Sus scrofa: one gene and its partners. The main gene of each other region encodes a partner of the protein of the gene in region 4 in a complex. Links are inferred from orthologs where the notes say so. Each region holds a gene or a part of one and is shown on either strand. Other genes may lie near its edges. The genes, in order: INTS12, INTS9, INTS2, INTS1, INTS7, INTS4 and INTS6.

What was found.
Region 1: INTS1 (region 4) and INTS12 share a complex: the UniProt entries of both Homo sapiens proteins name them as parts of the integrator complex. The link is inferred for Sus scrofa from reciprocal best matches to the Homo sapiens genes INTS1 and INTS12.
Region 2: INTS1 (region 4) and INTS9 share a complex: the UniProt entries of both Homo sapiens proteins name them as parts of the integrator complex. The link is inferred for Sus scrofa from reciprocal best matches to the Homo sapiens genes INTS1 and INTS9.
Region 3: the proteins of INTS1 (region 4) and INTS2 are in contact, whole or in part, in a cryo-EM structure (PDB 8RC4), measured with the Homo sapiens proteins. The link is inferred for Sus scrofa from reciprocal best matches to the Homo sapiens genes INTS1 and INTS2. Residues at the interface, in NP_001073922.2 of Homo sapiens: Gly561, Ile562, Ala563, Trp564, Asp565, Lys566, Gly567, Ser982, His1055, Met1056, Thr1058, Pro1060, Glu1095, Arg1096, Thr1098, Ile1099, His1102, Leu1107, Arg1225, Ser1250, Phe1251, Gly1252, Ile1253, Tyr1285, His1288, Glu1291, Val1292, Gln1293, Glu1295, Arg1296; in NP_065799.2 of Homo sapiens: Pro40, Leu54, Lys69, Leu72, Arg73, Leu75, Ser76, Gly77, Val78, Glu79, Val81, Asn82, Val85, Gly125, Thr127, Leu128, Glu131, His132, Glu166, Val172, Tyr173, Glu176, Arg322, Gln325, Gln326, Arg329, Gly400, Lys402, Thr769, Met772.
Region 5: the proteins of INTS1 (region 4) and INTS7 are in contact, whole or in part, in a cryo-EM structure (PDB 8RC4), measured with the Homo sapiens proteins. The link is inferred for Sus scrofa from reciprocal best matches to the Homo sapiens genes INTS1 and INTS7. Residues at the interface, in NP_001073922.2 of Homo sapiens: Leu1378, Gln1381, Gln1382, Gly1385, Gln1386, Ala1389, His1429, Phe1430, Leu1431, Cys1433, Pro1434, Arg1437, Gln1438, Cys1440, Gln1441, Pro1476, Ala1479, Gln1480, Met1483, Leu1484, Gln1487, Arg1552, Pro1554, His1555, Leu1556, Glu1557, Glu1558, Pro1613, Ser1614, Gly1616; in NP_056249.1 of Homo sapiens: His150, Asp151, Leu187, Ala188, Thr189, Pro190, Val191, Lys194, Thr223, Ser224, Tyr225, Pro226, Ser227, Thr228, Asn262, Asp263, Pro264, Arg265, Lys266, Pro303, Tyr304, Gln349, Glu350, Cys352, Tyr353, His354, Asn355, Arg357, Ala360, Gln384.
Region 6: INTS1 (region 4) and INTS4 share a complex: the UniProt entries of both Homo sapiens proteins name them as parts of the integrator complex. The link is inferred for Sus scrofa from reciprocal best matches to the Homo sapiens genes INTS1 and INTS4.
Region 7: INTS1 (region 4) and INTS6 share a complex: the UniProt entries of both Homo sapiens proteins name them as parts of the integrator complex. The link is inferred for Sus scrofa from reciprocal best matches to the Homo sapiens genes INTS1 and INTS6.

The regions. Positions count from the first base shown.
Region 1 is NC_010450.4:116,030,483-116,034,663, reverse strand, and holds the start of INTS12 (integrator complex subunit 12), read right to left. Parts: upstream 2,801-4,181; 5' UTR 2,662-2,800; intron 1-2,661. Other genes in the region: GSTCD (glutathione S-transferase C-terminal domain-containing protein), read left to right, coding at 2,833-3,034. UniProt on the Homo sapiens protein: Component of the integrator complex, a multiprotein complex that terminates RNA polymerase II (Pol II) transcription in the promoter-proximal region of genes.
Region 2 is NC_010456.5:12,689,641-12,693,571, forward strand, and holds the start of INTS9 (integrator complex subunit 9), read right to left. Parts: upstream 2,801-3,931; 5' UTR 2,496-2,800; coding exon 2,487-2,495; intron 55-2,486; exon of another isoform or gene 1-54. UniProt on the Homo sapiens protein: Component of the integrator complex, a multiprotein complex that terminates RNA polymerase II (Pol II) transcription in the promoter-proximal region of genes.
Region 3 is NC_010454.4:36,433,180-36,437,192, reverse strand, and holds the start of INTS2 (integrator complex subunit 2), read right to left. Parts: upstream 2,801-4,013; 5' UTR 2,714-2,800; coding exon 2,695-2,713; intron 1,396-2,694; coding exon 1,089-1,395; intron 294-1,088; coding exon 155-293; intron 1-154. UniProt on the Homo sapiens protein: Component of the integrator complex, a multiprotein complex that terminates RNA polymerase II (Pol II) transcription in the promoter-proximal region of genes.
Region 4 is NC_010445.4:992,085-995,584, forward strand, and holds part of INTS1 (integrator complex subunit 1), read right to left. Parts: intron 3,110-3,500; coding exon 3,018-3,109; intron 2,861-3,017; coding exon 2,800-2,860; intron 1,787-2,799; coding exon 1,589-1,786; intron 1,322-1,588; coding exon 1,192-1,321; intron 1,036-1,191; coding exon 856-1,035; intron 710-855; coding exon 560-709; intron 206-559; coding exon 26-205; intron 1-25. UniProt on the Homo sapiens protein: Component of the integrator complex, a multiprotein complex that terminates RNA polymerase II (Pol II) transcription in the promoter-proximal region of genes.
Region 5 is NC_010451.4:131,331,030-131,334,529, reverse strand, and holds part of INTS7 (integrator complex subunit 7), read right to left. Parts: intron 3,047-3,500; coding exon 2,840-3,046; intron 1-2,839. UniProt on the Homo sapiens protein: Component of the integrator complex, a multiprotein complex that terminates RNA polymerase II (Pol II) transcription in the promoter-proximal region of genes.
Region 6 is NC_010451.4:12,429,471-12,433,595, forward strand, and holds the start of INTS4 (integrator complex subunit 4), read right to left. Parts: upstream 2,801-4,125; 5' UTR 2,657-2,800; coding exon 2,603-2,656; intron 1-2,602. UniProt on the Homo sapiens protein: Component of the integrator complex, a multiprotein complex that terminates RNA polymerase II (Pol II) transcription in the promoter-proximal region of genes.
Region 7 is NC_010453.5:16,462,276-16,465,510, reverse strand, and holds part of INTS6 (integrator complex subunit 6), read right to left. Parts: intron 2,154-3,235; coding exon 2,060-2,153; intron 495-2,059; coding exon 401-494; 3' UTR 1-400. UniProt on the Homo sapiens protein: Component of the integrator complex, a multiprotein complex that terminates RNA polymerase II (Pol II) transcription in the promoter-proximal region of genes.

The DNA of each region.
Region 1 (4,181 bases), on a different chromosome or scaffold from region 4:
CCCACTCAGATCTCTCTTAAGCTCAAACCCCATATTTCTAATTGCTTAGTAGACATGTCTACCTAATTGTCCCAATGGTTTCTCAAATTCAATAAAGACTGAAATTGAGATTATGAATATCTCCTACCCCAAAGTTCCTTGTTCCGCACTTTCTTTCAATAAATGACATACTCTCCGTTAATCAGGCCTGAGGCCTACATTTTTGCCTGAGTCCTCCCCAATTCCTATATTTCAACATTTCTCACATTTGTTGCTATTTTCCATTTCCACTGCTACTACTCAGATTCAGGTCTTTATCAGCTTTTTGCACTGTAGCAATAATCTAGTGATTGTCTTGGACTTCAATACTGTTGCCATATTAATGTTCCTGTTAACACATCTCCCTATCTCCCTTCCTCCCTCCCTTCCTTCTTCTTCCTCCCTCCCTGCTTCCTTTCTTCCTCAAAAATTAAGACTTCCCATTCCCTTTAAAATAAAGCCTAACTTCTTGGCCTAGCATTTAAAAAGATTCAGTAGGAGATCCCATTCTGGCTCAGTGGAAACTAATCTGACTAGTAACCATGAGGTTGTAGGATTGATCCCTGGCCTCGCTCAGCAGGTTAAGGATCCGGTGTTGCTGTGAGCTGTGGTGTAGGTTGCAGACTCAGTTTGGATCCTGTGTGGCTATGGCTGTGGCATAATGTGGCAGCTGTAACTTCGATTCGACCCCAAGCCTGGGATCCTCCATATGCCTCAGGTGTGCACCCCCCCAAAAAAAAGACTCAATAACTGGCACAAAAACTAATTCTTCATCTCCAGATCTCCCATAGACCAGAATCATTAGCTGGACTTGCTACTTCTCAATTTTTTTTCTGTCTGGAGAGCTTTTTTACCCATTTTCATATTTCCATATCCTATCAAGACCCATGAGGGTACTGATGAGGACCCTACTCACCCAATAATACTAATAATCTTGCTGAATTCCCGTCGTGGCGCAGTGGAAACGAATTTGAACTGGAACCATGAGGTTGCGGGTTCAATCCCTGACCTCGCTCAGTGGGTTAAGGATCATGCGTTGCTGTGAGCTGTGGTATAGGTCGCAGACGCAGCTTGGATCTGGCGTTGCTGTGGCTGTGGTGGAGGCCTGCAGCTACAGCTCCGACTGGACCCCTAGTCTGGGAACCTCCATAAGCTGCTGGTGCGGACCTAAAAGGACAAAAGACAAAAATAAATAAATAAATAAATAAATAAATAATAATAATAATAATCTTGCCCTCCCCTGGGAAATCTTGGAGTGCATTCTCAAGGTACTGGAACTTTCTACCTTGAACCACAGTCTTTTTTTTTCTGTTTTCTTTTTTTTGCACATTTGTTATATTCTCTATAAATCTCTGACTACTTTAAGGGGAAAGGCTATCTTTTTACCATCACGTTTGTATTTTGTAAAGTACCAAAAAATAATGGCCAAAGAATTATTAGAGATCAAAGGATAATAGTTTTTTTCCTTCTACACAATTCTAATCATTTCCAAAGTCCCTCTGCAATAAGCAACAAAAAAGAAACTCAAAGCTATTACCACCCTCCAGACTCCTCCCACCCCCAATCCCACCTCAAGCCCTCAAATATCAAAAAAGCAAAAACAATACAAAGCAGAAAACACCTTTTTCATGACATGGGATTTGTACAATGTTCCTATCTGCATTACTCTCTACCCAATCCTCCATGTGATTTAAATTCATTAACCCCACTAGACTGTAAACTCCATGCAAGAAGGGAATTCTTTTATTCAGAACTGTTACATACCTAGTGCTTGGAATTTAACATATTCTCAAAAATATTTGTTGAGTGAATGCACTAGGGTTTTTTTAAATGTCACTTTCTAGGGCTTCTGTGATTTCTCCAACCTAAATTGGGTATTCATATATAAATATATGCTTTCCTCTAGATCCCATTATCTATCTTACAAGCTAACATTAAAAGAAGTCCAAAGTTGGAGTTTCACGTGCACGAGATGAAGGAAGCTGAACCTATTCAGGCAGAGTGCAATATTGGGGTTGCCACCTCAATAACGGCTCTAGAAAGCTTTGCCCTTTGCAAACTCATGCAACTCATCCTAATAAATACCCTTTTAAAGATACTGCCCTTTTTATTCCTCCTGGATCTTGGCCCTGGATTACACTGATGACCTTAGGCACACATCCGGAAACGACAACAGGCGGAAAGAACCTAATTCCAAACCAACCAACCGACAGAAAATCTGAAAAACGACACTCAGAAAAGGAATATCAATCTTCTGATCAAAGGCAAGACCCACCGAAGGCCTAACATCGGGAAGGGTCTTGACAAGTGAGCCCAATGAAGATGAGAGGAGGCAGAGGGAGCTGCACAGAGAAGTCGCCAAAACCTTCCGAGGAAGGTCCGAGACAGGGTTCCAAGGTCCCAATCCCTGGGGCTGTAACCTCGGTCCGCTGACCCCAGCCTGCAAAACCTTCGGGGGAAGCACGACCCCAACTGTAAGGGGAGAATGGTCAGACTGGGCATTCGACCGCCTGCAAATTATGAGTTTCCTCACAAGAGGCGAGGAAACTAAGACCGCACAGTACTACCGTCCCACTTCACCCCTCGCGGAGGTCTCAAGCCTCCCAGAGGCGGCTGGGAACCGAGGGGCTCGTCGCAACTCACCGCTCCGCCCCGCTGCTCCGTCCGTTCCCGGTGGCCTGACGAACAGGTCCCAGCACTAGCCCGCCGGGAGAGCGGAAAAACAAAAGTTCCCGCAGCAGGGTCGACTGGGGAACGTTTTCACTGTGCGACGGGAGGAAGTGACGTAACCACCTTCTTCCGGTGCGCCGGATTATGAATGACGGCAGGTGCTGCTGTTTCCCCGGCGCTGCTTCTGTTGTTTTTTTCCCTGCCGCGTGGAGCTGCGAGCGGTCTGCAGGCGAAGACTTCCTAAAGCGACCTCGGGAAACCCGGCTCGGGCGGGGCGGGAATGCGCTGGCGGCCAGTGTTGACACGTTCACGCACCCTCCCTGCCTGGCCGCGCCTCTGCGACCAGGTAAGGAGGGCGCTCGCGCCGCCGGCTCCTCAGTCCTCAAGACCCTGCAAAGACTCCTCTTTCATCCAGGGACCGGCAGGGTTGACGATGCGAAGAAGGGCGGGAAGAGTGGAGGGGTCCGGGCCCCTTCGCAATTTTTCCAGGGCCAGTCCCCATGGCTTCATTTACTGAAGGGGAAAGGAGCAGCTTCCAGTTGCAGCAGTCTGTTCGGTCGTTCGCCATTTGCTGCTAAGTGTAGTTAAGACCTCTTGGGTCACTCTTTTAACTTTTATCTTTTTTTCTACTGAGTTTTCTATTCCAGCCCTTCCTCATTGGAGAAAGCAGTAGTATGTGAATACTACCTAACAGTTGCTCCAAAGAACCCCCTACATTTTGGGCGATTTGTTTCTGCACTACCATCAAAGTAGCGTTTCACTTTGGTTTAAACTCCTATAGAAAGTTTGGGTTTAACTTGCATGAAAATTGCTTTTACTTCAGAAACGTTTACTAATACACGTACTTCCCACACCAATTCTACTTGGTTTGGGATTAGGTGACTGTTTGTTTGTTTCGGCTTTTTAGGGACACACCCTTGGCATATGGTAATTCCCAGACTAGGGGTCCAATGGAAGCTACAGCTGCCGACCTACACCACAGCCCTAGCAATGGGATCCTTAACCCACTGAGGCCAGGGATCAGACTAGTGTCCTCATGCACACTAGTCGGATTCGTTACTGCTGAGCCACATCGGGAACTCCTTTTCCCCTTATTCCCCCCCTTTTTTTTTTTTTTTTTTTTTTTTTTTTGCTTTTTAGGGCCACAGTCTAGGCATATGGAAGTTCCTAGGCTAGGGGTGGAATCTGAGCTATAGCCACCAGCCTAATCCACAACAACTCAGGATCCGAGCAAAGTCTGTGACCTACACCACCACTCAGGGCAAGGTGGGATCTGCGACCCACTGATTGAATCCATATCCTATGGATACTAGTCAGATTCATTTACACTGCGCGGCAATGGGAACTCCGCCGATACTCTTAAGGTCATGATCTCTTAATGCCGGGAGCCCATTCCTTGTCATAAGTTCTTGCCAACATTTAATAATAGATCTTGTGCTAAATTATTTAAGAAAGGTAGAGTATGTTTACATTTTTCTAAGCTTATCTAGGAA
Region 2 (3,931 bases), on a different chromosome or scaffold from region 4:
ATGGAACACACTTAAAGTCCCAGAGGCAAAAGAGAGCAGGCGGACTTCAAGGAACTGAAAGACATACAATACAAACGGAACAAGGAGGTCAAGAGAGGAGAGCTAGACATTAGCCTGGAGAAGTCAGCAGGGCCAGAATCTACAGGATCAAGCAAGTCAAGTCAAGAATTTTAAGGAGTTCCCTTGTGGCTCAGCAGGTTAAGGATCCAGCATTGACAATGCTGTGGCTTGGGTCTGATCCCTGGCCTAGGAACTTCTGTATGCCGCAAGTGCGGCCAAAAAACCCCTCCCAAACCAAAAATAAAAAATAAAAACCCCAAAACCACAAAACTCTAAAACAGAACAACAAAAAAATAATTTTAAGACTATCCTAAGGGCAAAGGAAGCTACCAAAGGGTTTTAAAGGAACACTGCAATTTAAAACAACTTCTGGGCATGGAGTAGGGAATGGATTTGAGGGTGGGAGACCAGTTAGAAGGTTTTGTTGAATTTCAAGTGTCAAGTGAAAAGAGCCCCTACAAAGGCTGTATTGGTGGTACTGGAGAGAAACAGACCAGTTTAAGAACTGCAGAATCACCAAGATATGGTCATAGATTGTACGTGGGAAGGGTGTTTGGGGAAGTCATAATCTCCAAAACAAGAATGTACTCTATAAAAAATATTTCTGTGTTTCATGATAGAAATACAAAACATGGTTTATCACATATTCAGGAAGCAGTACACAAAGTTAAAAATTTTTAGGCCCTAGGAAAATTTATTCCAACTCTATGGGAGGCATGATACAAAAAAGAAGCCTGCTTACTGAGTGTCAGTGTTCTTGAAACACTTTGCTGTGTCAATAGATATTCTCACAGAATCATCAACTACCTTATTCCTCTAAGGCATTTTATGATTCTTGAAAGAAAAATAGTTTCTCTTTCCCCCTTTTTTATCTTCTTTAAATGAGGTAAGCAGGAGGATTTCATAAGCAAACCAAAGCATATGTAAACTAAACCCTAACTCTCTGATACCCTCAGCAAATGAGCTATTATGGAAAAGAACTGTTTTCCATTTTCCTGCCTCTGCACCGAGCATACATACCAAATGTGATTTATCCTTTATCAAGAAAACATGGTCTTTATTTCAAGCACTCAGGTGCAAAGCTCTTTTGCTTCTAAAGCTGAACCCTCTTCAAGGAAAGCCCTAGCCTACTCACCTTGCTTAACTGTTAAAGAGTCTCCTTTCCATAGAGCTGTCTCCCACTCCCCCAACCCCCATCATCCTCTAAATCCCTAAACACTGAACATGCTTCCATTTACCATGAAAACAGTGAAATATCATTTATTACTTTTGTATCTTCTTCATTGCACACTTCTTTTGGATATGGGTGGTGACTTTCAATTTGGCATTTTTACATGTCTTGAAAACTGACCCAGAAGCAAATTGATATCCTCAAGGTTTACTGATCTGTGTCCTTCTCCTTACCTAAACAGCTTTAGTGTTGAATCTACTTCTATTTCTCTGACTCCTCAGAAAACAGCTGAAACTCTGAAGAGCACAGGCCCTTAGCGTGTGTGTGCAGGCACCAGCCTGGGCTGCACACTTTGGAAAAGCATGCTCAAACAATTAAGAAAATGCACATTTTATTTTTCTACTAAAATTACAGGAAAGTAAAGATTTACAACACTTGGCTGCAGGAATGCGAATTTTAAGAGGTTGAGAAACAGCATCTCACACCTGCTTTTCTACTAATACCATACAGTTGGAATAAACTAGTTAAAGTAGCTAAATCTGTGTGCACACAGAGTAACGTGGCTCAAAATAAAGGCCTGAGCAGCCTCCCTACAAGCCAAGTGTTTTGAGTTTTGTGATGCAGAGAATTTTCCAGGTATCCTGGCAGGCTCCATCTAATCTTGGCTCATACAGTCCCTACAGCCCTAGACTGAATGCCTTGACACTTAAACCATATTATACAGGGTTTAAAACTTAAATCTTCCACGATCATACCATACCATGATCTCGTCCTTCTCTGAATATCAAAGACAGTTAGGAGTCTATAACAGAAAACTTAAGTGATTACTCTGCCCAATATTTTCTAAACTCTGCTCATATGTAACCAAAGCCTTTTCAAAAACTGTAAGAAACGCTAATCAAACGCCAATCGCGTGGAAAGAAGTTAACCAATTATAAAACTCACATGGCAGCTGTGAAATCAGTCAAACCTAGTTCATAAAGCCCAACCTCAGTTCGTGTGTGAAGTAAGGTGACAGAGTCAATCTCTTATCTAACCACAGGAGCCGCCAAGGGATAAATAAGATCTGGGGGTCGGGGGTGGGAGGTGGGATTCAAACTCAACCACAAGGAGCAGCTTTCCTTGGTTCACCCCACTTTCTAAGTCTCTAACTGCCACCCCTCTTCCGCGACGGTTCCCACCACAAGTTGGAAACGACGAAGTCCAAAAGGATATGGCATCACCTTTGCCCTCTGACCTAGGAGCAGAGACTCACCAATTTCATATTGGACTTTAGGTTGTTCAATATCAGTCACTGGACTCCTCAGAACCAGAAAGCCTCTTCCGGTTCAATCTCCGCCACCCGCCAGCCTCGAGCATCGCGGGACATGCAGTCTTTCTTCCCTACGCCCCCTTCCGGATGCATCATGGGAAATGTAGTCCTGTCTTCTTGCATCATGGGAACTGTGGTCATCTTTCCTTTTTCTCTCTTTCCTCCTTCCTTCGGCTCAAATTCTTCCCCGCCGCCAAATCATTCTCCCTCTCCATCCCAGCATGATATCATGTCCCCTGTCTGGGCCCAGAGCCCACGGTATTCTGGGATGTGTAGTCCCTACGACTCTGGCGCCCCTTTCCCCTCCTCCCTGTGGGAAGGCGAATGGCGCAGGTCTTGCCGGGAGCTGTAGTCCCCCAGGGCCTCCGGGCGCCGAGTCCCGCGCTTTTACTCGAGGGAGTAAGAAACTACAACTCCCAGGGCCGCCCGGCGGCAGCAGGTGGGAGCGGGGCTGTTGATATCAATATGGCGGTTGTCAGCCAGACAAAGACAGTCAGTCTGATGTGATTGAGACAAGGGAGGTTTTCAGGGGGAGACTGGGAGATAGGGGCCTCCCCTCCCCCTTCTCCTCTTCCTGCGCCGGCCTCAACCCCTCCCCAGTCCCCTCCCGACGGGCGCCCCACGCGGAAGACACCCCTCCCCCTCCCGCTTTCCCCTCCTCCCTACCTCAGCCCTTCGTACTGGGACGTTGGGGAGGGGGCTGTGCCGGGCGGAGAGAACTCAGCAAGGATTCTGAGGTGAGTCGAGCGATTTGGAAGGCGGGCTCCCTCAAGTCTCTTTCTTCACTTCTTTCTCTTCACTTTTTTTCTTTTTTCTTTTTGGAGGGGTTTGGGAGAGAAAGTGAGTGGGCCGGGGGTGGGTCTCTTAGGCGGCCCGACTGAGAGGAGGGAGGAAGCGTGGGGCTTCCGAGGGGGGTGACCCGGACGCAGGGTCTGGGGTGGGGCAGTTTGTGGGGGGCGAAAATGGAAAGGCGTCGGCTGCTCCCTAACTCTTTCCTCCTGGTTACCTCCTTGGTGGGCGGAAGGTTTGAATCCTGGAGGTGGGGTCTCTTGTTTGGAGTTTGGGAAACTGTGAGGGGAATTTGAGGTGTGGGTTTGTTTGGGGTGCAGAACTGTATTTGAAACTGGGTGACGTGTACTTGGGTGATGTGTTAGCCTTGAATAAATGTCTCTAGAGAGGAAGTTCGGGAGACGGAGTCGGAGCTTTTAGCTGGGCCTGGGCGGAGAAGCGTGCGCGAGGTGCGGGTCCTGGACCTCTGGGCTGGCGCCGCGGCGCGGGGTGGCCGTGGGGAGCAAGTCGTTTGTGTCCCATCGCCCGCTCACACTCCTTCTCCCATCCTCCCAGGGACACATCCCAACCCCAAACTCAGGGTAGGAGCACTGTAGACG
Region 3 (4,013 bases), on a different chromosome or scaffold from region 4:
ACTTTTTGAGCCTCTGAAAGGATAACACTTACATAAAAAACAGAAATATTGTACAAGAGGATGCAACCTGGCTGCCTTCTGGCCTGTTTCTTCTACCTTCTAAGTGTAGAGATCAAATCATGTATATTTTGAGCTGTGGTTAAAATAAATGTACCTTGTTCATAATTGCCAACAATTCACTAAGCACAAGACGCAAGCGACGAGGCGAATCACTGTGTTCAAACTCTAAAGTCAGTCCATGCTGAAGCTGTGATACCAGGATGCTCTCTCCACTGCCTCCTCCAAGTTTATGCCTGATAAAGTACAAACATGCACAACATTTATAAAAACACTGGCACAGAAATGACAGGGTGAAAATTACCTCATAAAAATAATCTAGGAGTTCCCGCTGTGGCACAATGGGTTAAGAATCTGACTGCAGCAGCTCAGGTCACCGAGCATGGGTTTGATCTTTGGCCCAGTGCAGTGGGTTACAAGATCTGGCACTGCTGCAGCCATGGAGAAGGCTGAAGTTGCAGCTTGGTTTCAAGCAGCTGCAGCTTGGTATCAATCCCTGGCCCAGGAACTTCTATATTCCTCGAGTATGGCCATAAAAAATAATCACCATCATCTACAAAATAATGCATGAATTCTTTTCATATACTTCATAAATGGATTACTTCTAAAATCCTATTCAGGTTGTTCATCTATTTCAGGAATTTACAACCTATGTAAAGACTCCATCACAACTGACAGTTAATATCCACTTTCATTAACTACAGTGGCTCACTACTGGCTTCACAACAGGCAAAGAAGGACAAAATATATGCCCAGAATTTGGGGGAATCAATGTAAGCTTAAAAAAGCCTCCCAAGAGATTTCAGGAAATCGTTCTACTCCAGAGGAACTTATCCCACCCTTTTCCCACTGAAAGTAACTGGCCTAAGGACTTACCCTGAATACAAAGTGCACACAAAGTTCTCAGCACAACATTTTATAAGATGGAATTCAAAAGATCATAGAATTTTAATTACAAATAAAAATACTGGATTCTTTCTGTTTTAGCAAATCCAAGTAAATACCAAGCCACAGATTAGATATTACATTACCTAAGCTGCTGTTCTTTGCTGGCGTCCTGTTCTAAAGCATGAAAGTCCACAGACAACAATGCAACAATGGAATTGACAGCTTCTACTCCAGAAAGAAGACGAAGGATGAGTTTTTTATCCTGAGCCCAGCTTTGGCTCTGGTCAGCAGGAGCACAAAGTGCCATCCGCACCAAGCAGGGCAGGAGAAGTCTTAATTCTGGATCGCTTAAAGATGCCAAACGAACAACATCCACCTTCTGCATTGCTTCGAAAGCAAAAGGACTGACAAACTGAAGGCTTGTACACTCGGTCATTATCACAGTTGATCCTAGTGGTTAAAAAAAAAAAAAAGAAGAAGAAGATGAAGAAAAAGAAAAGAAAGAGAAAGTAGGGGTATAACTCCACATGCATGAATGCCTCTCTTTTTAACAACTCTGAAAAATGTGGTCTCTTGTTAATAGGACTAGTCGCTGGCAATATTCCTGGCACAATTAAAGGCTCCCTATGTTTCTATTGCCATCTGGAAAATGAGAAAGAAAACAGAGTATATTAACGTCTCTTCCAGCCTTGGGGATCTTCTGTTGTAATACTCCCATTTTGCAAAGAAGGAATATGAAACCCCGAGGGACTAAGTAACTGGCTCTGAGTAGTATTACTAGTCAGTGGCAAAATCTAACGCTGAACTCTCATCTACTAAAACCCAGTCCAATATTTTCTCCACTATACCAGTCATGAGTGCCACAACGTAGAGTAAAAGATCAGCATAGTAAAGAACGCTCCTCTTTCGTTTCACATGCCTACCCAACATCCGTAAAGCACTGTTAGACTTCTCTTTCCCACCCTCCACGAGTCGGTGGAACCACTATTAAATAGCCTCACTAGCCAGAAGCAATGCCAGATTCAACGCTCTGGAGACAAAAACAGTATGCCATACCTCCTGTGTTCCTAAGTTTAAAAAAACAAAAACAAAAACAAAACAGCTGTGGAGGTGCAATTAGCTGTGGGAGAAAGCTGAGTCCCACTTGGGCACTTTTCTGTCTTCAAGAGTAATCAGAAACAAAACAGCAAGTAGCAGGTAGCCAAAGCCATCCCCTCTGAGACCCACAAAACTGCAGAATCGTAAATAACAAAGAGTCGTGGGCAGAAATGCTGTTTTGCTTTTAATTTTAGCAAGAGGAGCTGGCCTTTTAACAGAGGGGCGGGCTGATAGAGCAGAGGCGTCAAGACCTGTGTGCTCATAGGTCTCGCCCTGGGCGTAAAGAGAACCAACCAGTTCCTCTGGCTGAGAAAAGTCGGGCCGGTGGCGGACACGGACCTCGGAACGCTCTAAGAGCCTGAGAAGCGGAAGCTTCATACCTTAAGATCTACCCTCCAACCTCCCGGGACCCCACCCGGATTCCACGCTCTAGAGGCGGGACGCGGTAGAAATCGAGAGCGCGGTCCGAAGTTGGGCCTAGGCGATAATCCGGATTCCCCAACCCTAGCTGTGCCCTGAGTCGACCTGGACACCAAAAACCCAGACGCCAGAACCCATTGGTCCGGCGGTGCGATAGGGGCTGGATGCGGACCCTGCACAAAGGCAGAGCCCGGACTGAAGGGAGAGGAAAGCAGAGCAGACCGTTTCAACCTGCACACAGCACCTTCATTCATCCCCAGCGTCTGGCTCCGGTCGGCCACCGTACTGGACTGAGAGGAAGAGTGGCTGGCTGTGAAAGGAAACCCGCAGACGTCGCTCAGAGGCAACGGCGCGCGTGCGCGGCCCCACCCCTTCCTCCCCCTTGGTTTGCTCTGCCAAGTTCACTCGAGAAGATTTAGCAGGTTGCTAGCTGTCTTCAGTCTCCTTTCCAGACCCTACCAGCTGACTCTTTTTAAGGTAAATCATTAAGTCCTTACGAAGTGCAGTTTCATCGTCACAGGACTACCGTGGCGTTCAAATGAATACGTACATTAGTATGGAAACGGAATGTTAAAGTTGTCCCCACTGTTCATTGATCAGAACACGAAAGGAATCAGACTGCATACATTTCTTTTCCATCTCTGCCTGTGCCCTTCCAGCACCAAAGTTCTGGAATCCTGGGTTTGTAGAAGAATTTAAAAAGTCATCAAGGAATTCTCGTTTTGGCTCAGTGGTTAACGAATCCGACTAGGAACCATGAAGACGTGGGTTCGATCCCTGGCCTCGCTTAGTGGGTCTTAAGGATCCGGCGTTTCCGTGAGCTGTAGTGTAGGTCGCAGACGCGGCTCAGATCCCGCGTTGCTGTGGCTCTGGCGTAGGCCGGTGGCTACAGCTTCAATTCGACCCCAACCTGGGAACCTCCATGTGCCATGGGTGCAGCCCTGAAACACACACACACACACCAAAAAAGAATATATGTATATATGTATGTATACATGTATGTATATATGTATGTACAGCATTTTTTTCCTTAGTGGTACATGAAATAATGTTTTACAATTACTGGTGTCTTATATTTGTTTGATGAAATGTGTTATATAGTTCCTATACTCTAAGTCCTGGATGAAGTGAACATTCTCACCCCTGAATGGCTTTGATTTATTCTTTTCTACCTTAATTTTCAATCAGGTTGGGAAAGAAAGAAAAGGAGACTGGCACAACACAGTAAATCAACTATACTTTAATAAAATAATAAATTTTAAAAATTTAAAAAGAAAAGGAGAAGTTCTCTTGTGCAGCAAAGTTAAGGATTTGGCGTTGTCACTGCAGCGGCTTGGGTGGCTGCTGTGTCTCAGGTTCCATCCCTAACCATCACATGCTGCAGACTTAGCCAGGAAACAAAAAAAAAAAAGAGAAAGAAAGAAAAAACAAACAAACAAAAAAAAACCAGTCTCAGGCATCATAGGTGCTTTTACATAAGTTATTGCCCAGTAAATGACTTTCTAGAAATTAGAAGACTTAGGGATTTAAAGGAGCACCCATGTTCCTTG
Region 4 (3,500 bases):
CCGCCCCGCCACCCGGCGCCCCCACCTGCTGCAGAGCCAGGGCGGTGCTGGTCTTGACGCTGTCGAACAGAGGCAGCCGGGGCAGGTCCCGCAGCAGCCACTGGTAGCCCTGCAGCGTGTCCGAGTCGCCCGAGTCCTCCTCCAGCGGGGGGTCCTTGTCCTCCCCGTCCCGCAGGCTGCCCTCTGAGAGCACCAAGGACAGGCCCTGCGAGCAGACAGGCGCTGGGCCAGGCCCTCAGCCAGGGGCCCGCCTCCTCCCGCATGGCCCGGGGAGGGCCCGCCCGGCGTTGCCACGAGCCCAGAGCAGAAGCAGCCCAAGCCAGCTTCCCTGCAGAACTGTCACCAGCACCTCGGAGATGCGGCAGGACAGCTCCCAAGTCACCCTCAGGGAGTCCCCGTCACCGCCCAGGGAAGGGCCCACAGGGGAAAGGACTCTGGTTCCTGTGGGTTCTACTGGGTCCCCTCCATGACTGAAGATCCGCCAGAGTAACAGGGAGGAAGCCTCTCCAACACAACAGAGAGGACCACGGCGGGGGCAGCCAGCCAGGCCCGGGCTCACCTTCATGGCCAGCACCCTGGAGGCCACCTGGGAGGAGCCGAGGCGCCGCAGGAAGTAGTCCAGCACCTCACACGTGGTCTGCTCGTCGGCCCTGGGGCCCAGCAGCAGGTCCTGCAGGCGGCCCAGCAGCTGCCGCTGCTTCTGCTGCCTCTGCAGGAACAGGCGACCTCAGGCGGGCCTCAGGGCTGGGGCGGGGGGAAGGGGCATCGACCTGCCCTCCGCAGGGACAGACGACCTGAGGCCGGCTGCCGGGCCCGCGGGAGTGGGGTGGGGTGGGGGGCGGGGGAGGCACCGACCTGCCGCTTCTTGGCCTTCTGCTCCTTGCTCTCGCCCTCCTCCTCCTCCTCCGCAGAGGCGGGCTCGTCGGCAGCATCGTGCAGCAGGAACTCGCACAGGCACTGCACGGGCAGCACGTCCAGGGAGCCCTCGCTGGACTGCACCAGGTCGGCCAGCCAGGGCATGGACTGCGACGAGGCCTGCACAGGGCGGCGTCGCACGGCTCTCTCCGGTTCGACCTGCCACGGCCCCTCCCGACCCACCTGCCTGCCACCTGTGGGGCCCTCCCGTGGCAGCCCTGTGTCCCACGTGCGCACCCCGCCAGCGCCCCTCTGCCCCAGCCGCTGCGGACTCGCCTGCCTCTGGATGATGTTGAGAAGGAAGTCCGGGTTGCGGCTCCGGCACAGCAGGTGCCCGAGACGGAGGGACTGGTTGAGGCTTTTCACCTGATCCAGGATGTGGGGGGGAGGCCTCCGGGGGGGCCCTCTGAAAGTCCCAGACGACACGAGTGTCTGAGTCACAAGGGCAGTACCCCCAGGGATGGCAGTGGGGGAGGGAGGGTGGAGGGCGGGGGGACCCCTGTGAGGACTGCAGCCCTCCCCCTAGGCCGGCCCAAGGCTCTCAGTGTCACCTGAGCCCTGGCGCAGGGAGAACCAGGACAGCGGTGGCCTTGGCCTGGGGCTGCTGCTCCACACCGCCCCCTCCGTGCCCAGCCCAGGCCCGGCGCGCAGCTCCGCGCAGTGCAGTGCGTACTTGGGGTCCAGGCTGGTGAGCTGCGACAGGAGGAGGCTGCTGCTCTCGGTGATGGTCTGCTTGGTGGACGCGGCCGCCAGGTGCCCCTCGAAGGCCAGGATCTCCTGCTTCTCCCGCTGGGAGATCTGCAGCTCCCGACTCATCATCTCCGCCCGGGTCTCCTCGTCCGTCAGGGTGCACGGCGGGTACGAGTAATTGCTGGGGCCGAGCAGGGAGCGTCTCAGCAGACAGCACCCGAGTGGAGGCATCAGAGCTCGCGCGCTGGCCCACGCCCGGCTTGAGCCGTCAGGCCACAGGAGGGACCCTGGGGTCGTGGGCCATGGGGTCGAGGCCAGACCTCTGGGAAGCAGCTGGGCATCCCGCAGAGCCCGCACCTGGCCATCAGGAGCCTGGACCCAGAACGGTATGCCCAGCGTGCCCTCCTGGGGATGTTGCCAGCAAGCAGGTGGTCCAGGGCACACTGGGAGCCTCATCCAGTCCACACTGGCAACTCCTGTCCAGGGGACATTGGGAGCTCCCCACCCAGGGCACGCTGGGTGCTCGCAGACCGACTCGAGGCTTTCTGGGACACGAGCGGCCAGAAAGCTCCCACATGTTCCGAAAGCCACCCAGCTTCCTGGGATGGCCACGAGGCTGCCCGCAGATGCGCGAGGCGGTGGCCGTCTGCAGCCTCTGGCCGCAGGCACCCAGTCCTCCCACGCTGAAGCCGATTGCACGTGTGTGGTCACATGCCGGTTCACATTACAACTCCTCGGGCTCTGCCCTTGGCCACCGCACTGTGGGGCGACCCGCGTTGTCCCTCTGAGAAGCGCAGACGGCCCGCACCCGCCCCGTCCTGGCATCTGGCACGGCTGTGCACACAGGCCCCCACGACTGCTGTCTGCGCTCCTGAGGAGCAGGTGCGGCAGGCCTGGCGCCTGGCGCCCACCCCGGCCAGAGGCGGTCCCTGCTGCTGGGCCCAGGCCGCGTTCCCACCCGCCTGGCCGTGTCGCCATCCCGTCACCCCGCCTCTGGCTCCGGGACCCTCTGCTCTAGCCCTCCTACGTCACACCGTTGTCAGCCCGACCGTCCCCACGCCCGTGGTGGCCTGAGCGTGGCGGAGGATGGCCTGGGCCCCGCAGCCCCCGGCGCCGCCTCATCCCCTCCCTGCCCCGCGCGGCGAGGGGGCGGCACAGCAGGAGGGAGAGGCCGCGGCCGCGGCGGCCACTCACTTGGTCATCACCATCTCCATGAGCATCTTCAGCGTCGGGTACTCCTCCCAGGCGGCCAGGCCTAGGGCGCAAGGGGACAGCAGGTGGCAGCGGGGAGCCCCGGCCCGAGGCCCGTGCCCTGCCAGCTCACCACCCAGTCCCAGCCCGGCGCTGCTCCGGTCCTCCCAGCCCGCTGCCCCTAAGGCGGCAAGGGGACCGCGCCGGCCACAGGGGCTCACCGATGTTCTCCGGGTTGAAGGCAGCGACCACCAGCAGGAGGGGCCAGGCCTTCCAGTAGAGAGTGGAGATGGCCAGGTTCGGAGGCTGGTACCTGAAACGCGAGGGGTCGAGCGCTCGGCCTCGGCGCACAAGCCCACGATGGGACGGGTCAGGGCCAGGGCAGCAACGGCTCAGATCCGCGTGTGGGCCTCAGTCACCCCCCTCTGCGGCCTGTGCCCCCAGGAGGGCACGGCGACCACCACACTCACTCCGCGGCCGGGCGCCCAGCCCTGCGCTCTGGGCATGTGCCCCCCGCTGAGCCCGCCCCCGCCTGTGAGCCAGCAACAGGGCAAGGTAACACGTGTCCAGTGGGGTTCGTCATCGTCGCCAGAAAGCCCAACACCGCGGTACCTGCCGCACGGGGCTGTGCCAACGCGCAGAAACCACACGCCAGGCAACCCTGGCTACCACTGGAGGCCGTTCAGAGGATGAGAGAGAAAGGG
Region 5 (3,500 bases), on a different chromosome or scaffold from region 4:
CGCGGCTCGGATCCCGCGTTGCTGTGGCTCTGGCGTAGGCCGGTGGCTGCAGCTCCGATTGGACCCTTAGCCTGGGAACCTCCATATGAAGTGGGGGCGGCCCAAGAAATAGCAACAACAACAACAACAACAACAAAAGACAAAAAAAATTAAAAAAAAAAAGACTATGCCAGATCCTTTAACCCACTAAGTGAGGCCAGGGATTGGTTCATGAGTGAACCCGAATCCTCACGGATACTAGTCAGGCTTTTAACCCACTGAGCCACAATGGAAACTCCAAAGGCAATCTATTTTTGAGAAGCTAATTTAGGTCCCTAACGAGCTGACTTTATACTAATCAAAAAGGAGATTATTCTGGGTAGATCTCGCTTCATCAGTTGAGTTCTTTAAAAGAGGGCCTTGAAGGTAAGAGATTCCCCTGCTGGCCTTAAAGTTTCCTCAGGTCTTACAGCTGTGAGGAACTGAATCCTGCCAACAACTGCATGAGTTCAAAAGAGGACTCTTGAGTCCAGGCTTCACACAAAACTGGCTCTGAACAACACCTTGACAGTAACTTCGTGACAACATGAGCAGAGGCCCCAGCGAAGTCACACCTGGGCCCTTGGAAACCGTAAAATAGTAAATGGGTGTTGTTTTAAGCCACTAAATTTATAGTAATTTTTTACATAGCCCAGAAAGCTAATATGAACGCTTTTTATAATTTATATTCCTAAGAAGCAAGATAACACCAGCATTAATCACTGTATGGGGAAATTCAGACACCCAACACTGCTATAGAGTCCCTCTAAGCATGGAATCTTTAACTTCTGTTTGGCTTGGCTGAAGTAGGTAAAAATACAGTCCTCACAGCTGAGTCTCGGGTCAGCTCATTCAGGTGTCAAGGAGTGAGAGGGTGAGTCATGCTCACACCATCTCGATTAAAAAGGGGAAAGTCACCATCAGGTCCTCACTTGTCAGAGAGATTTTTTAAAAATCTTGCGGAAATCCCGAGAGTGCGGTATACTCAGAACTGAGAGAGGTTCCAAACAACAGTAAGGATCAGACTGCCTCCCCCCCCGGATTCTTCTCAAGCACATCGTCATCTCTGGACCTCTTTTTTGACTCCTCAAAGCAGGGTTTGGCACATAGCCAGTGCTCACAGTCTGCTGAATAAAGCAACTCCGTTTTAAGAGGTGATCTGAGGCCCAAGAACCTGCCTTAGGTCACATGGCGCGAACGGCTGAACGGAGACGGACACAAGGGCCTTCTGACAGCCCACTGCGGTCCTCCTACATCAGAATCCAGCCCTTACCTACTGCCAAGCCTCCTTAAATACTGAGAGCACACAAACCATTAAATGACCATTAAATGTGCAATGGAGTTTTTCTTAATATTAATTGCATCTGCCTCACTGTTCTGTGAATCTCTCTCTCAGTTCTTACCACTTACTGCACCACTTACTGTTAAACCATTAACAATTTTTTGTTCCACATAAATTAGAAAATAGAATAATTCTACTGATTGGCGCCAACAACTATTCTTTGACTTTCTGAGCTATTTATTAGCTTGAAATAGGCAACAACAAACTCTTACGAGTTTTGATAATCATGACGAGAGAATCATGTAGTTAAAGTTACCCCTTAAAACGGTGAGGAGCCATTCCTACATTCCTGTTTTTTGTTTTGTCTTTTTCCTTTTTAGGGCTGCACCTATGGCACATGGAGGTTCCCAATTCCCAGGCCAGGGGTCGAATCGGAGCTCCAGCTGCTGGTCTACGGCACAGCCACAGCAACTCGGGATCTGAGCTGCATCTGTGACCTACACCACAGCGCATGGCAACACCGGATCCTTAACCCACTGAGCAAGGCCAGGGATCAAACCTGCGTCCGGATGGATACTAGTCGGGTTTGTAACCCACTGAGCCACACTGGGAATGCCCTATATTTCTGTTCCAAAACAGCCATCAATCAATCCCAGCTCCCTCCAAAATCATTCTTCAAAAGATGTGTATCCACAGCCATCTGAACAGTCTGTCTCTTCGGTGACGTCTGTTTATTCTCTGTTCTACTCTGAAGCGTTTCTTTCTGGATACATTACATTTATCTAATGTAAAAAGACAGTTTACATTATGTGATAAGTGAAAAAGGTAGATACACAGGTACCCAAAGTTTTACGGCCCTATCTAAATATATACAATTTTTAAGGTTGTGTGACAATGCTTTAAACGTGTTCAATGGTGATTAAACTCTTTACTCTTAAGGGGAAAAAGTCCTCACATTAACAGAGAAAAGGCTCATTTTAGGGAACAGGCTCTTATTTAGGATTATAACTAGTTTCAAGAAAATGTTAAGGATCTGATCTCTTTTTCTTGGTAGAAAAAAATGGAAAATACAGCTGGTTGTTCATTTGGAGTAGAGGGTATCACCAAGGGGTAAAAAGTGATCACTTGCTTTTTATTTACAAAGCAAGAAGCTCTAGTTTCTTAGTGAGTAGCCGCCAGTGATGGGAAGGGCTGGGTCTGGCGGCAGCAGCGACCCAGGCTGCGGTCTTCCCAACAGCAGTCTGGAAAGGGAGCATCCTACCTCCGCTAATTCTTTCTGCCTGGACTGTGCAATTCCCCTCCACGTGTCTATCGGACACTTGATAAAAAACCAAATGATAAATGTGCATCAACCCATGAACGTTAAAAAGTCGGGCAGGGGTTCATGACCTACCGTCACGTCCTACGTCTTATTTTAATACTTCCAAATACATACATATTAGCAGGGTTTTCAAGGTGAAAACGGGACAGCCCCCGGAAGCAAAGGGACACCATCCTCACACAAGCCATCACCGCCCAAGGAAAATGAGGAAGACTCACTGTTAAGGAAGCAATCCCTTTGTGGTAGAATTTCAGGGACTCAGCAATGCAAGAAAGTGCTGAACTAGCGTCGTCCTCCTGCAGGCCGGTGAGGCACTGCTCCGCGTGTGAGAACTCCTTCAGACTGTTGAGCCAGAAGTGGAGATGCTCCGAGGCGACCTGCGTCAGCAGGCTCTGGTACAGCTCTCCGGCCATGTCGTGACTACCCTGAAAGAAAGCCGGGAGGGCCCAGGATGAGGGTCTTACCCTTGAACCAGCTGCGGCAGCACCTCCAACAGAAGCCCAAACCTTGGATACGTTTTAGCGATCGTGCCTCCCGCTCTGTAACTCCGAGGGACTCGGTCTCCTATTTCTCCCGAGAAACCATGCCGAGCTGCTTTGCTGTAACACACGCCTGAAGTTCTTTAGCCACACAACAGCTCCGGAGAGAAGATAAACGCAATGAGCTACAACCCGAGGCGAGCCATGTAGTTCCAAACAGGCCCTTCCGCACGAGCTGTTCAGTGGTGTGGGGAGAACCCCAGCCACTTTTCCTCCAGTGGTGACCGGGGGAGGCGAGGGAGGGGGCTGAGTGCCCTGTGAGGCCGGGGCGATGGATGCCCAGGGTCCTGCTGCAGCTGGAGGCGTGGCACAGCTGAGGATGCGGGCGCAGCGGCGGCCT
Region 6 (4,125 bases), on a different chromosome or scaffold from region 4:
AACACAGAGACTGCAAATTTAACTTTGCCCCATCTGATGGAAATAGTTTTCCCTATAGCAAATAATGTATTTAGGTGACAGACCTAGCCTAAACAAAAAGCAGTGCTATGAATCAGGAAAAAAGCCACCTGGAGACAAAGCGATGGTTCTCAGTTTTATCATCTGTAAAATAGGAATGATGACCTACTACCAGTCTTTCTCAGTCAGGGATCCTCGTGTGAACCACAGAAAACATACAATTAGCTAAGTGACTATTTTCTCAATTCTCCCAAGGATGATGCATAATTAGAACCAATCTAGATATATTTGATGCATGGAATGAGTGCCCAAAAGTCCACGTGAAAGGGAACCTGTCACTCCAGGGATTATGTAAGGCCCTGGTGGGTAGATATAAAAAAGATCACAACGTAAGAGAAATGTTATAGGAGTTCTCTTGTGGTGCAGCAGCACGGGTTGCAGCTGCAGCTGGGATTCAATCCCTGGCCCAGGAACTCCCATAGGCCTCAGGTGCAGCCAGAAAAAGAGAGAGAAACAACAGATACAAAAGTTTGGAGAGGTGCAAACACTAGCCATGTTGGAGGAGGGGTGAGTAGTCTTGGTAAGTGGGAACAACAGAATGTTTGGAAGAAAGGAAGTGACACTGCACAATAAAGTGAATGCACTTAATGCCACTGAACTGTACAATTAAAAATGGTTAAAACGGTAAATTTTGGTATGTATATTTTGCCACAATTTTTTTAAGAGCGCCCAAGGAAACAGAGTTAGGAAATCCTAAAAGGCAAGCCATAGAAGGAGCTCTGAAGTCAAAAAGCTTTCCTGAATCCTGACTCATTCTAAAAGTTCAGGAAAACTAATTTCACATAAAAGTGGAGTCAACCGGAGTTTCCCTTGTGGTGCAGTAGAACCGCATCAGACTAGGAACCATGAGGTTGTGGGTTTGATCCCTGGCCTCGCTCAGTGGGTTAAGGATCTGGCATTGCCATGAGCTGTGGTGTAGGTCAAAGATTCGGCTCGGAGCCTGTGTGGCTGTGGCTGTAGCTCTGATTCGACACCTAGCCTGGGAACCTCCATATGTCGCAGGTGTGGCCCTAAAAAACAAGCAAAAAAAAGAGTCAACAAAAACGTGTCAGGTTTTTTAAGAAAAAACAAGAATAAGAAGTTAGTCAATTCCCTACACACAATGGGAATATGCCACAAAGTGTCCACAAAACAAAAAAAGGCAGTGATACAGCTGGAAGGAACATTGTCCAATAATAAAGGCTAGGGAGTTTCTATAAAGAGTAGTTGCAAAAGAGAGAGGCAGACTTGATTTGTTCATGCAATCACCTCTTGGCACTATAACCACAGACATACTGTTCCCTATCTCCCACCAGCCTGTGAGCTCCTAAAGAACATGGAACTTAATGTGCACTGAACTTTGTAGCTCAGCACCTTTCCATTTACCTAATACACAGTAACAACTTTTTTTTTTTTTTTTTTTTTTTTTTTTTAGGGCTGCACCTGCAGCACATGGAGGTTCCCAGGCTAGGGGTCAAACCAGAGCTGCAGGCCTATGCACCAATGCAGGATCCTAGCAACATCTGCGACCTACACCACAGCTCATGGCAACGCGGGATCCTTACTTAACCCACTGGGCGAGGTCAGGGATGGAACCTGCGTCTCATGGATGCTAGTTGGGTTCGTTTCTGCCGAGCCACAACGGGAACTCTCACAATAACAACTCTTTTACTCAATAAACTTTTGCTAAAGGAAAAAATTAAATGCTTAAGGATCAGTGTCTTGCTGCATGGTCTAAATCTTGCTACTCTACAAGCTTATGCCTCTAAGGATGCATCAATTGGGGGCTCGTCAGAAATTCAGATTATTGCCTCACCTCTCCCGCCCGATTTACTTAGTGAGTAGAATCTACAGTTTAACAAGACCCCCAGGTGATTTGTATACACAAAGCCTGAGAAGCACAACATGAGGTATGACTTGATATCGAACTCTACTTTAGGAATATCAATGAGGAAATACACGGAGAATCACTGGCTGCTGACAGGGGCTTGGCCCACCAGTCCGTGAACAACTCCAAACGAAAAAGGTATTGCCCTCCTTCCTTGATGAACTGTTCCATCAACAGAAAGTTCTATCCCTATAAAGCCTGTGACCCTCGCCTGATCTGAGTCTCGAGGACTTTAAACTCCTCTTCCAATCTCTTGGAGTTTCGCATACAGCTACCTTGTCCTTAGGCGCGCTTTTTTTTTTTTTTTGTAACGGGAGTCGGGAGAGAATCTGCCACTAATTGGCTGTGTCCACGCACCCCTCCAGAAGCCTCAAAGTCCTCATTTGTAAAATGAAGATGCTGATGTACTACGAATAAAATTAGATTACGAATAATATATTTTTGTAAACTGTAAATTTTCTGTAGTGTCAGACTGCACATGTTAATAATGACAAGCAGCAGAGGCGAACGAACACGCCCACTAAAGTGTAGTCCAGTCTATCAAAGCAGTCCGCACTCAGCCCAGCTTTGTGGCGCTCGTTCTGGCAAAGTGCCTGGGGCGCGGATAATCTTCCTCTACCCCAAATGGGTTCCGGGACTTTTCCCTCCAGGGCTTACCTGAACCACCTTAGTGAATTCCTCGTACACCCGCTTCTTCAGGTGCGCCGCCATGGCTGCCCACGGACCCTCTCAGCTTCCGTACAGACGAGGAGGCGGGGCGGAGGAATTCGGGAAAACCGGCCCAGACCGGAGGAACCAGCCACGATCCCACAAGGCAGTGGGGTTCCCGGAAAGAGAGGCCGCTTCCTGCTGCTCTACTGCTCTGCCTTGGCCAGGCTGTATTCGGCCGCCTACGCCGCGTTCGCCGAGGAAGGAGAGCGAGATAGCAGCGTGGGGGCGGGGCTTCTGCCTGGAGGAGCCAATGGGAGCGTCCTGGGGCATGCGGTCGGTCTCGGCGTCGGAGAGACTGGCGGGACCGCCGCGGAGGGAGGGAGACGGGGGAGGAAGTACTACAGGGTGAAAGGGCAGAGGCGGAGCTATCTTGAGGTAGAGGCAAAACCTGGAGCTGCTTTAAGCTGTTGCCTCTGGAATTGAGGGAGCGAGGGCAAGCTGACCTTCCCATCAGCCTTTGCTGTTGACACTGTCGGCTGTCTGTGTGTCCCTTGCACTCCTATTGGTCAAGCTGTTACTCGAAAACTGGGTTCGCCCCTTGGTGGGTGTGGAGCCAGAAGATACAGCCGAGCCGAAGAGGGGAAGAAGGAAGGATTTATTACTTGGAGCAAATAAGAATGCCAGGGATCTTTACCAAAGTGGTGTCTCTTTGAATAGCAAAACTGAGGAAGTCTTAAGCTAAGGAGCGTGCACATTCATACTCATGAAGGCACTTGAGCAGAGGAGAATTCAGCACAGAATTGGGGCGAAGGTCTACAGAGTTCAAGCTTTAGTTGACTTAAGAGGGTCAACATCAATATTCTGTCCTCCACCTGGGTGGGGCACTAACTACAAAACTCAAAAGATTTGTGTCAGGTTGTTAGGTATGTCCCATGAAGAGGAACTAGGACTTTTTTATGACTGAACTGTCTTGACTGCCCTTCCTTTGTTCCTGTGAGGCTGGAGATAGATGGGGTCCAGGCTGAGCAACTGGAATCTGTCCCCTGCGGACAAATACTTCAAGATAAGAATTATGATAAGAGTAGCTCCCATTGTGGCTCAGCAGGTTAAGGACTCACCCTTTTCTCTGTGAGGATGCAGGTTCAATCCCAGACCTCACTCAGTGGGTTAAGGATCCAGAATTACTTCAAGCTGCGGCTTAGGTGCAGGTGCAGTTCAGATCCAGTGTTGCTGTGGCTGTGACATAGAGCACAGCTGCAGTTCCCATTAGACCCTTAGCCTGGGAACTTCCATATGCCACAGGCGCAGCTGTAAAAAGAAATATATATATATATATGGCAGGAGCAAGGACTCCTTCTTGGATAAAAGATAAAGAGACCTCATGGAGTTCCCTGGTGGCCTAGTGGTTAAGGATCCTCTGTTGTCACTGCTATGGCTTGGGTTCAGTCCCTGTCCTGGAAACTCCCACATGCCATGGGTGTGGCCAAATAAAAACAAAACACAAGAGACCATATATTTCTCATTCTTGA
Region 7 (3,235 bases), on a different chromosome or scaffold from region 4:
GTATGTGCTTTTTCCCCAAAAATTACAAAGTAACTTCTTTTTTATTTTTTTGGCAAAGTTCAACCTTAACAGAGGTGACAGTTTTAAAGGTTGGTTTAAGAAAATAGAACCTGAGGGAAATTGACACGCAAGAGTCAATGACAAGCAAGAGATTTGGAGGAGTATTTTTAGTTTGTTAAATAAAAATGTTTTTTAGAGTGATACTTTTCACATTACAAAAATAAACCAAAATGAAGAAAAGGTCACTGTAAAATGATGGAAAAAGGATCTGTAGACTTGCTCTTAGTATTTCAAAAAGCCAACAATGCATGTCAAAAAATGAATGCAAGATCACAACAGTCTTGTATTTACTTTGTATTTGGAGAAGGTAGTGAAATAAGTGGCCACATTCTGTTTTCTTTTAATTGCTGTTAATGTGGTTGATCTGATTGGCTCTTCGATGAATTTCATCCAAGAAGTTCTCCAGTTGTTCTATTAGCATTCGTTTTTTAAACCTGTAAAAAAATGAAGTAACAAAGCTCTCAGTTTCTTTTTAAACAAATAGTTATATGTCAGTATAATTTTCTTTAAAGAGAGAAACTACCTTGGGAAGATTTTTCAAAGTGATATACAAAATCTTTTGGAAGATTAGCAAATTATGTTATCAGTACAGTATTATAAGTTTGTACCTAAAACAAACAGTCTAGCCCTAGTTATAATGGGAAAGAGATTATTCCTTTCACAAGCAAAAAGAAAAAGGGGGAGAAACCCTAATAAATACAAGAGTTATAAATATAAATAAATATTCCAGTGAAATCTGGGCTCCCAAAAGCAGTTTCTCATGCTCTTTGAAAGCTGAATGTTAAAAAAGGAATGTGAACAAAATATGAATACATTCCCCCATAAAATGGAAGAAATGAAAGTTGGGCTCTCGCATTTAAACCATGGCGTTCTATTATTACAACTTAACTAGCAAATCAAGGACAATGAGAGGTCTCTAGTAGAGGATACAGTAAAGAGTTAAAGTAAAGTTCAAGTGGAAATTTAAAAATTTTAGTAATGAATATAGTAGACTGAAACTGCTTTTGTCTACATTAAGTATTACTACTTCTGATGCTTTTCAGAATGCCCAAAACACTGCCCCATCTATATTTACTTCCTCTCTACTTGCAAACGAATATGACTAACCACCATAATACCACACAACTCTCTAAAAGGTGGCAAGGTGGCAGACATAGAATTCAGGCACCAGGAATACGGCTAAATCTGTGATGAAGTACGAGCTGACAGAATGTTACATAAAGAGCAGACTAGGTCAAATACTCAAAATAAATAATACGAAAAGTTATGGCCTTATCTTGAAAATTCAAAGTAACCTATGTTCTAGTCATTCATGGGGGGGAAAATAATGGCTTTATCTAAAAAGACTACATGTAGCATGGAAGAAACTGGGTTACTTGTTAAAGGGTGGGAATTTGGGAAGGTCAGATGAGATAAGCTCTAAGTTTTCTTACTAAAAATTCTAGAAGTCTTTTTATTTTCTAAACTCATACAACTATGCTTTCCAGTGAACTGCACTTCAGAGTTACCATTTATAATCTTGATCCACATTCCTTGTACTAAAAGCGCATAACCCTGGGCTACTGAAGCGATCAGAATAAGGCCCATTTGTCCAGCTCTGGTCCCCTTAATTACATGTTTTCCCACGTACAAGTGAACTGCATTCAGATACTGCCTTTCAAGGTTATTTTTCATCACTAATTAATATTAACTGTAGTTTAAATATACAAAGGAGAAAAATTAAAGACTATAAAATATAAAGACACCAAAAAGCCACAGAGTACAATTAAGAAGAATTATGCAAGTATCTATATACTGTGTAGGGAGAAAGGGTCCATGATTTCTGGAGAATTTGTCTGTGGCTATTTTTTCAATAAACTGAAAAGAAGAGAGAAGTGCTTATATACACATGGTGTGTCATATACATTCATAACAAGTATAAAATAGACACTGTTAAAATATCAACTATATAAACTGGGGGCTCATTTCACCATATCAGAGTGTACAACAGATTATTTACCTTGATGCTTCTTTAATGACATTTTGTAAAAATATTAGTCTTGTTTGTAAACTGCCTTGCACATGCTTCAGTAAAGTGAAGATTCTTTCATATTCTTAAAACAAGAGAAGCAAACGGAAAAATTAAGTGGCTTTTCCTTTGCACTCTAATTCAGTATTTTTCTATTGCAATTTATTAGATCAAAATATACTAAAACAAAACCAAAAACAGTCTACATAAAATTTCACTGCTCATTAGAGATTTTACAATACATATATTTTATCACATGTCAACAAAGATAAAATAATTTGTTAAATACTGCTTTTTTGGTAACAGTTCTTGTTAAGGTATTAAGCATAAAGTTTAGAAGGATGAATAAATAGCTTTCTGGTAGTGCCACTAAAAATAAGAAGTGGCCTTTACAAAAATCTATCCTTAAAGCTTAAATTCTAAATTACAGCCATCCTGCAGTGGGGAAGGGGGATAAAATAAAGGAAAAAAACATTACAAAACAAAACAGGTTAAGAGTGCTATCTCAGTTCAGGTTTTCCCTTAAAACTCTGCCAAGGACTATGAGCTCCTGAATGGCAAGTACTGAGTCTTATGCACTTAGGGACCACGCCTGGGTCACTAGACCATCAGAGCAGGTGATCTGTCAGCATCTTCTGAATGAAGTCAACAATACTGAAATTTTACCTCATCGAGTTCTTTTGTACTGAGATAATAGCGTTCGTAATTTTAGCTTTTGGCCTTAAACATATCCCTGATCACTATTATAGTTTAAATCTTAAAAGTTAAGATGGTGTGTAGGTTCTCCGCCAGGAATGTCACAGCTATGAAGTCATTTAAAATTGACTAAATCTTTTTGGGTTTGCTGTTACATTAAAATTCCAGTTGCTGGTTGGAAGAATACACGAGACTATGGCTTCCCGTCATGGGAGGCCCCGTGTGTAACTTATCCATGTGCTCCTCCTCTGCTCTCAGCCCCTCCTCCTTCCCATGCCTAACACAGTACTTTGGATACAGCAGATATTCAGTACTTGTAAGCTGAATAAAGAATCAAATCTTACATAGCTCGTATGTTGTTCAAGACTGATCTAAGGAGTTCCCACTGTGGCACAGTGGGCTAAGGATCTGGCATTGCCTCAGCTGCAGCTCAGATTCAGTCCCTGGCCCAGGGACTTCAACATGCCACAA